2 linked regions of the Saccharomyces cerevisiae S288C genome follow. The gene in region 1 interacts genetically with each later gene. Each region holds a gene or a part of one and is shown on either strand. Other genes may lie near its edges.

Region 1 (3,353 bases):
AGATCTCAAAGTAGAAATAAACCACCTAACAACCGCCAACATCTGCGCCACTTCCTTTGATTCCACATTTGGGTCAAAGGGACAGTGATCTTTGTAGTTTTCACCATCAATCAACGAAGGCTCCAGAAATAAAGCTGGATGTTCAGCCCAATACTGAGAAAACTCTGTTAAGGAAGTGGGAGAAAGAATAAACGGTGGTGCAGACAAAGACGATAGATCTCCGTTGAACGAACTTATCGATTTCAAAAAAGAAGTCCAAGAAGATGAGCTTGCGTGTTGAGACATTTTCGTTTGTAATCTAGCAGGATACACTTAGATGACTTAGATATATGGAGCTTCAAGTAGGGAAAGAAAGATCGGACTCAGACAGGTTGAAAAGAAGACCCAACTGGATCCGGGACAGCAAAGTACAAAACAAGATAGTTTATAAACCTTCTCTTTTAACGACTGTTTGACGGCATACCTTGCTCTTTTGTTGAATGCAGGGAACGAGGCCAAAACAATGGTTTTTGTTTAAGCGCGTCAAATTCGACAATGGTGATCACAAACGATTGCTATTATTTAACATAGCGACAGGCGTTGTTGAAGAAATACTGCAGGTGAGGCTGAAAGGTCGTTTAGGTGTCAAACGGTTACCCTACGAACAGTTCGCGTCTTGGAGCCCAATAAAAGAAAATGAGGCTTATCAGTTCTATCACTATTTAACATATTAAAAAAAATATACGGGCGGAGAGGTTTCATTTACGATTGTATAGAGTGAATTCGAAGCAATAACCTTTTTCTTCCAGCGAGTAGCGTTGATCACAGTCTGTTTCGGGCAACTCTACTTTAGGGGGAAGAAATTCTTTCAGCTGGGCCGGATCTTGCTCGCTAAATACTTCTTCCAATTTCTTCGCATCAAGGAAAGTGTCCATTGCAGGAGTTGCGTTTTTATCTAATGGATTTATTTTCGTGATGAGCCAATGATCTGTAATGGAGAAGATTTGACTATAAACTTCGCCACCCCCAATCACGTAGATTCTTTCCAGATGCTCCTTAAAATTGCTTTCTAGGTTCATTATTGCGTTTGCCAATGAATTACTTTGGACTATTGATCTCTCTTTATCGTGGACAAAATCGTCCTTGAAGCTTCTCGATATAATGACATTCATTCTATTGGGCAGTGGGCGAAACTTGGGCGGTATGGATTCCCATGTCTTCCTTCCCATTATCAAAGCATTTTTTTTGTTTGGATCTTTCGTCAATGAAGTGACCTGTCTGAAATACTTCATTTCACTGGGCAACCTCCATGGTAGACCTCCACGAAATCCTATCCCCATCTCCGGCTGTAAACATGCCACAATTCCTACAATAGGAATCTTTCCTCCAGCCATGCTCGTAGTTCGTTGCGCTCTTCAATTTCTCTTATTATCATGCAAAGCATAATGTTAACTACAGAAAATAATGAAACGTTTCCCTTTGGCCAGCGATGCCATCTCACGCACGTAAGGATGCAAAGCGATTTTTTTGTTTTCGCATCCGTCGCTCTTGACGAATTTTAGGTGGAGTCATACTATCAAGAACCTATACATTAAGCTAACCAAGACTACATTTAATTATACTTACACACCAACTAATCCAATTTCTTAACTGAAAACCAAACCTTTGGTTTTAAACAATTTAGAAAAGGAAAAAAGTGGTTAACTTGTCAGACTGCCATTTGTACCCACCCATAGAGCCCTATCCCTTCAAAAAAGAAGTACATAGGATGGGTCAAGATCATCGCGCCATAAAATATTGTAATTACTTCCAAAGGAAAAAACTACAAATGCAACGGCAAAGCAAAATTTTTATTCAAAATTATAGATGGCCGAACCGCTAAGGATTGCGGACCAAGCTAATTTAGATTCAATTTCGGTTTCTCACTCTGGGGTACAAAGGTTATGGGACTCATCAACCAAGTTGGATTCAGTGGCTCTTTTGAAGAGTCAAAGAGTGACGATTCCTATAGAAATGATCCTACTGTAGAATGTGTTAGTCAAAAGCTGCTGCAATGGTTGAATTAAATTTTTCAAAAAGCCTGCTCCGAAATGAAAACTCTAGTACCTAAGACTTTTAGATGCTATAGTTTTCAAATCCTGGTTTTTTGTGGGTAAAATGTTTGGGGTATATTACATACTGAAGTACGTCGACACAGATTTTAAGTAGAAACAAGAAGAAAACATAAGAGAAAAGATGTACTAAATCTAATTGACAGCAGAATACAAAGCCTTTATATATGTCTGGTGGGGGAAAGCAAATGAGAAAATTTTCAGGATTTGCCTTCGCCTTAAGGCGCTGTATGTGAAAAGAAAAAAAATCAGGGTTAATAGTAAAAGGTATGTGGGGTATGGGGGGGTGAAAAAATTTTGACGGCCTGTATAAACCCATACAATCAGCCCATACATACTACTGATATTTTTATAAAAAAAGAATCAATATTTTTTTTGAAACGTACGGTATATTGTGAGAAAGCTTTACCGGTAGACGGGCAATCAGAATTTGTTCTGCCTGGAGACCGCTTCTCTTTACACCATCTTCTTCCGGCCAGTGCAACAGAGCGTCACTGCTGGGGGGAACTCTGCCTGGGTACCATGTGCTTTTCCTTCTATGACTTTACCCATCCATGGTGGTTTGTGCTGGCCTCTCCATGCCTCTGCGTGCAGGTGTGACATGTGAAGGGTTCTTGCTTTCAAAGTAACCTCTGTACCGTAGTGAGGCTACCTATGGCTTGCACCAGTTACGCTTAGCACCAGATTTTGAAAAAACGATTATTATAGCAGATAAAGGTCCGAAAACAGTTTCTTTGCTTAAACAACCTTTGCAAAAGTAGAACCAGATAAATCATAGATAAAATGGCTGAATCCCATAGACGTATGTTATGAAATTACTATATGATGAATGTTGCCGTGGAATAGGCTGATTCGAGCTTAGAAGACATTATTGATATTCGATAAAACATGTGTTATAGTTGGGGCCCGCACTTGTTGGACAACTGTTATTAAAGAGTATGAATATATTAAATAGTGCATGGTTTTGCGATGAGAAGAACAGAATGAACAAGTTTCATAGGAAAAAAATTCAAAAGAGAAAGGTATTATAAATGATCAGTTTACCTTCTAGGGAAAGAAGAAGGAGATAACCTACCTGATATGAAATTCCACCAAGTAGTAGGAGGCACCAGGAAATGCATTTTTACATGAAACTGCGCGTGCCAGAAATGTTAAGATAGCGTATATATATGTCATTTGAGGTCGCTTCTGACATAACTGCGTCCCTTTCCATCATGGGCTCAATGAAATGTCGAATTATTTCACTCTGCAACGTGCTCATGA
Region 2 (5,146 bases), on another chromosome or scaffold:
GATCCAAAGTTAATGGGGGTGGATTCTGAAGAAGAAGAAATTGAATTGCCACCTGGTGTGAAAAAACCATTAAATTTGTTAAAAAATGCTGGTCCTGTAAACGTGGAGGCAAAGGTTTGGCTTGCCAACGAACGTACATTTAACAGATGGTTAAGTGTCACCAGTTTATTGAGTGTTTTGACGTTCTCAATTTATAATTCTGTGAAGAAAGCCGAATACCCCACTTTGGCTAACTACATGGCATACGTATATTTTGGTCTAACGATATTCTGTGCTTTATGGTCCTATTCCATTTATATGAAAAGAGTTGATATTATTCAACAAAGAAGCGGTCAACATCTAGATGCACCACTTGGTCCAGTTTTGGTTTCTATAGTTTTATTTGTCACTTTAGTGGTTAATTTTGTTATGGCGTTTAGAAATGCAGCAAAGTCTCGTCAAGAGTTGCAAATACAGAATTTAGAAGTTCCTGAAAGAATACCAGAAGTATTAAGGCCACTTCAAAATTATCTATTCAAGTTAATGGGGCCAAGCAGTGATTAGAATATGTACTCTATCTACTGAGACCATGTGTTTTTATGTTTGTAATGTGTAGCAAAAAATTATCATCTGCTAACAATTGCTTACTTTTAGAAATCACATTTAAGGGGAAGTTTTAAATCATTCATAAATATCAATGCATTTACATAAACATCATTTTCTCCGGTTTTTGATAACTCTGTACAGAAATAATGGATTATAGTTTTAAGCTAAGCGGAAAAGCCAAATTATTCTTCAAAATTTTCGATGAAGTCGGAGTTTATTTCTTTTAATTTCCCTAAAGTCAAGGGCTCTTTTTCATTTCCTGCACATTCTTTCAATATCGCTACAAGATTGTGTATTCTCTTCATTTGGTTTATGGTCTTTTGATCAACAACGCCATTTGAATCTTCGTTTTCAGTCCTTGCTTTTGCAATTTTCAAAAGCGAATGGATATTGTACGCTTCTGCAATAATATCCGGGTTGAATATTTTTTTTACCACCCTTATTCCACTATTCTCTATTGCGACAGATTTCTGGGTCAACTGATAATTCATTTTGACAGAATTGTCATTGAGAAGGACTGCATCCATATGAAGATGGGAAACTGCTGGCTTCTTAGACATTATTTTAGGAATGTCCTGGAAGTGTGTAGAAAGAAATACCGTTGCCTCCGTTCGAAGTAAATGTTCAGTTACTGCCAAAGACACACAAAACCCATCAGCGATGCTTGAACCACGACCAAGTTCATCTAAAATTAACAGTGTTTCTGTATTTATGTCATCTAAAAAGTAAGCCATTTCTTTCATTTCAAAACCAAAATTTGATGAGGTTAATTCCATACTGTCATTGCAGACTCTTGCATGTAGACGTTTAAAGACAGGAAAAGACCCATAAAGTGCCGGTATACCTGATCCCATTTGGGCCATTATGCAAATAAGGGCAACTTGTTTTAAATAAACAGATTTTCCACTCATGTTGCATCCGGTTATGATTTGTAAGCTGGAGCTATGTTTTGTACTTGATATGGTGTTAGGGACAAAATTTTTTAGTACCTTTTCAAGTAGTGGGTGTCTTGAATCTCGAATTAGTAGATTGTTTGTAAAAATCGGTATTGTGTAATTATTTTCTTTCAAATTATATGTGAATGAACAAACCAAATCCAGGATAGCCACTGCTTCTGCAATCATAAATAGTTCAGAAATATGGGTTGCAATTTTATCGAGCAGTTCATCAACTGTCTCTTCACTTAAAAGTAAAATCTCTTCCATAACTTCCTTCAACCTCGCATTTTTTTTTATTATATTTAGGGTTGTACATTCAATATAATTTTTTTTTATTGTTCTTGAAATGAATACGTCTGGAAGTGTAGCGACGTCATCGGTAAATTCCTGTCTTTTTATTCTGAGATAAAAGCCTCGTGCAGAATCGTAATTATGATCTAAATTGATTTTGTTTTTAGCGGTAAGATCTTCTACCTCACGAAAAAATTCCTCTTTTACCTCTTTGTAGATTTGTCTAGAAACATCCAAAAGCCCATTGGAATCACTTTTCACAGCATATGAACGTTGGTTAAGTAGTTGTATAGCTGAGGATGCCCAGACACAGTCTTCATTTATACAACTATTAATTAATTTTTCAATTTCCATAATTGCGTCATTATTGAATATTTTTTTGGTCTCGCTAATTAAACGGCTTTGAATTAACTGATCATTAAGTGCGTCTTTCAATGACTTCACGCTTTGTAAAGTTTCCTTTAGCAACAAAACGTAATTAATTCTTTGGTCAGGTTTTATTGCAGAATGATTAATGCATAATAACCTTGAAAATAACTTATCTAGATCAGGCAATGATTTCATTTCTAGCCTTAATTTTTGTAGAAGGTCATCATTGGCTTTCAATTCTTCTAGGGCCTCTAGTCTCATTTCGATACTGCCCCTATCAGTTAATGGCTGCAGTATACTGTTCCGAAGTGATCTTTGTCCCATTTTAGTGGACGTGGTATCCAAGAACTTCCATAGTGATATGCCATTCTTATCCAATTTATTTTCTACAAGTTCTAAACCTCTGACGGTTTTAGAATCAATCAGCATTGTATTTTCTGTTCCTTCAAACTGTATACGTAGTTTTCGAAACGCATTCAAATTTCGGCTGCTTTTGGATATAATCTCTTCCATGTAGCTTATCGCAGCAGATGCAGCACAAAGAGCAAACGTTTTATCTATAATCTCCTCGATTTTCAAGTCCTTTTTTGTATCATCCATTAAATACTTTGTAATCGCCGCCAGTCCATCTTGGCTATTGAAGCACTTTCGTGAACCCTCTTCAATTTTAACTGTCTCGGCCACATTAAATTTTATCATTGTCGCTAATTTTGATACTGTTGGAGCTAGAGAACTGCTTGGAATCAGTATTTCCGTAGGTTGGTAAATTTGGAGTTTATGAACTACACGAATGTAAATTTGTGAATCCATGAAATCTGAAAGATACATCTGTCCCGTGTTACAGTTGATAATACATAACCCAATCCGCGTACTTATGTCTCTTGGCACTTCGTATATGCAACAAAGAACACAGTCAATACTAGGACCGAGGAGTGAAGCGTTGGTGCTGTATCGACTTAAGGAGGTTGCGGTCCTAGAGGCCATTGATCCAGTCATTAAGTAATGGCTATGTGTTGAATCTTTTTCATTGTTTTCCCATGTTGTCTCTGCTATTTGTAGCGTTTTCTTTTTGAGAGCCCAACTACTTATGTTAGTTGGCGATTTTTGGTTCCTGATACTCTTTTTCGTACTTGGCTTCGAAATAGAGTTTGAAGAATTAGCCGCCGACCTTAAATTGAAATAATTTGTACTGATAAAACTAGATAGATTAGATTCACTCATTGCATATAGTTTGCGTTGATCAGCTACAGATTTCAATGCTATAACTAGTTATTTTTATATGTTTCACTTTAAGTAAAATCCAACTGCTCTTTTGCTATTCTTCGTTGATGCCTTATATGTATGAAAGCTGTACGTTCGGGATTTGAAAAGGAAATGAAGACGCGAATTAAAAAAAAATAATAAACTGGTTCATAGCAGAAAAGAGGAGACTAAATAAGATTTTGCTCTCATACAGATGCAACACATAAAAACTTTAATCGATTTCAGTATGGAAAAAGATATGATACAATAAAATCTAAATCTTAGAAACTGATTTTGAATAAAAAAACGACCCCAGTGAGGGTTGAACTCACGATCTTGCGATTAACAGTCGCACGCCTTAACCAACTTGGCCATGGAGTCAGTCACTTTTGAGTTCTGCAACTCTTAAAACGGAATAGACTACGTAAAACAATGTCATCCCATACCAAAACAATCCTGATTTCTCAAAGGCATCGCAAACCTCTGGAATAAAAATCCACTATCATCTATCAACTAATAGTTATTCAATATATTATCATATACAGTGTTAGATGATGACATAAGTTATGAGAAGCTGTCATCGAAGTTAGAAGAAGCTGAAATGCAAGGATTGATAATGTAATAGGATAATGAAACATATAAAACGGAATAGTCTAACATTAGTATGTAGAAATATGGATTCCATTTTGAGAATTCCTAAATCCTCGAGGAGAACTTCTAGCATATTCTGTATATGTTGGAATAAAAATCAACTATCATCTACTAACTAGTATTTACGTTACTAGTATATTATCATATACGGTGTTAGAAGATGACGCAAATGATGAGAAATAGTCATCTAAATTAGTGGAAGCTGAAACGCAAGGATTGATAATGTAATAGGATCAATGAATATTAACATATAAAATGATGATAATAATATTTATAGAATTGTGTAGAATTGCAGATTCCCTTTTATGGATTCCTAAATCCTCGAGGAGAACTTCTAGTATATCTACATACCTAATATTATTGCCTTATCAAAAATGGAATCCCAACAATTACATCAAAATCCACATTCTCTACATGGTAGCGCCTATGCTTCGGTTACTTCTAAGGAAGTCCCATCAAATCAAGATCCGTTAGCCGTTTCAGCTTCCAATTTACCGGAATTTGATAGAGATTCCACTAAGGTTAATTCTCAACAAGAGACAACACCTGGGACATCAGCTGTTCCAGAGAACCATCATCATGTCTCTCCTCAACCTGCTTCAGTACCACCTCCACAGAATGGACAGTACCAACAGCACGGCATGATGACCCCAAACAAAGCTATGGCCTCTAACTGGGCACATTACCAACAACCGTCTATGATGACGTGTTCACATTATCAAACGTCACCTGCGTATTATCAACCGGACCCACACTATCCGTTGCCACAGTATATCCCACCACTGAGTACTTCCTCACCTGATCCAATCGATTCACAGAATCAACACTCTGAAGTACCTCAAGCTGAGACAAAGGTGAGAAATAACGTCTTACCACCACACACTTTAACATCAGAAGAAAACTTTTCTACATGGGTTAAATTTTACATCAGATTTTTGAAGAACTCTAATCTCGGTGACATCATTCCAAATGACCAGGGTGAAATCAAAAGTCAAATGACTTATGAAGAACATGCGTATATATACAATACCTTCCAAGCATTTGCCCCATTTCATTTATTGCCAACATGG

What was found.
Region 2: mutations in DFR1 (region 1) and MSH4 together harm fitness more than expected from each alone (negative genetic interaction), as found in Saccharomyces cerevisiae (2 studies listed by BioGRID).

Annotation. Positions count from the first base shown.
Region 1 is NC_001147.6:778,926-782,278, reverse strand, and holds DFR1 (dihydrofolate reductase), read right to left. Parts: upstream 1,374-3,353; coding exon 738-1,373; downstream 1-737. Other genes in the region: oxysterol-binding protein related protein HES1, read right to left, coding at 1-285; IRC13 (Irc13p), read right to left, coding at 2,095-2,409; 60S ribosomal protein eL33 RPL33B, read left to right, coding at 2,874-2,892. UniProt on the Saccharomyces cerevisiae protein: Key enzyme in folate metabolism. Catalyzes an essential reaction for de novo glycine and purine synthesis, and for DNA precursor synthesis.
Region 2 is NC_001138.5:133,754-138,899, forward strand, and holds MSH4 (MutS family protein MSH4), read right to left. Parts: upstream 3,405-5,146; coding exon 768-3,404; downstream 1-767. Other genes in the region: VTC2 (vacuolar transporter chaperone), read left to right, coding at 1-543; YFL002W-B (gag protein), read left to right, coding at 4,451-5,146. UniProt on the Saccharomyces cerevisiae protein: Involved in meiotic recombination. Facilitate crossovers between homologs during meiosis.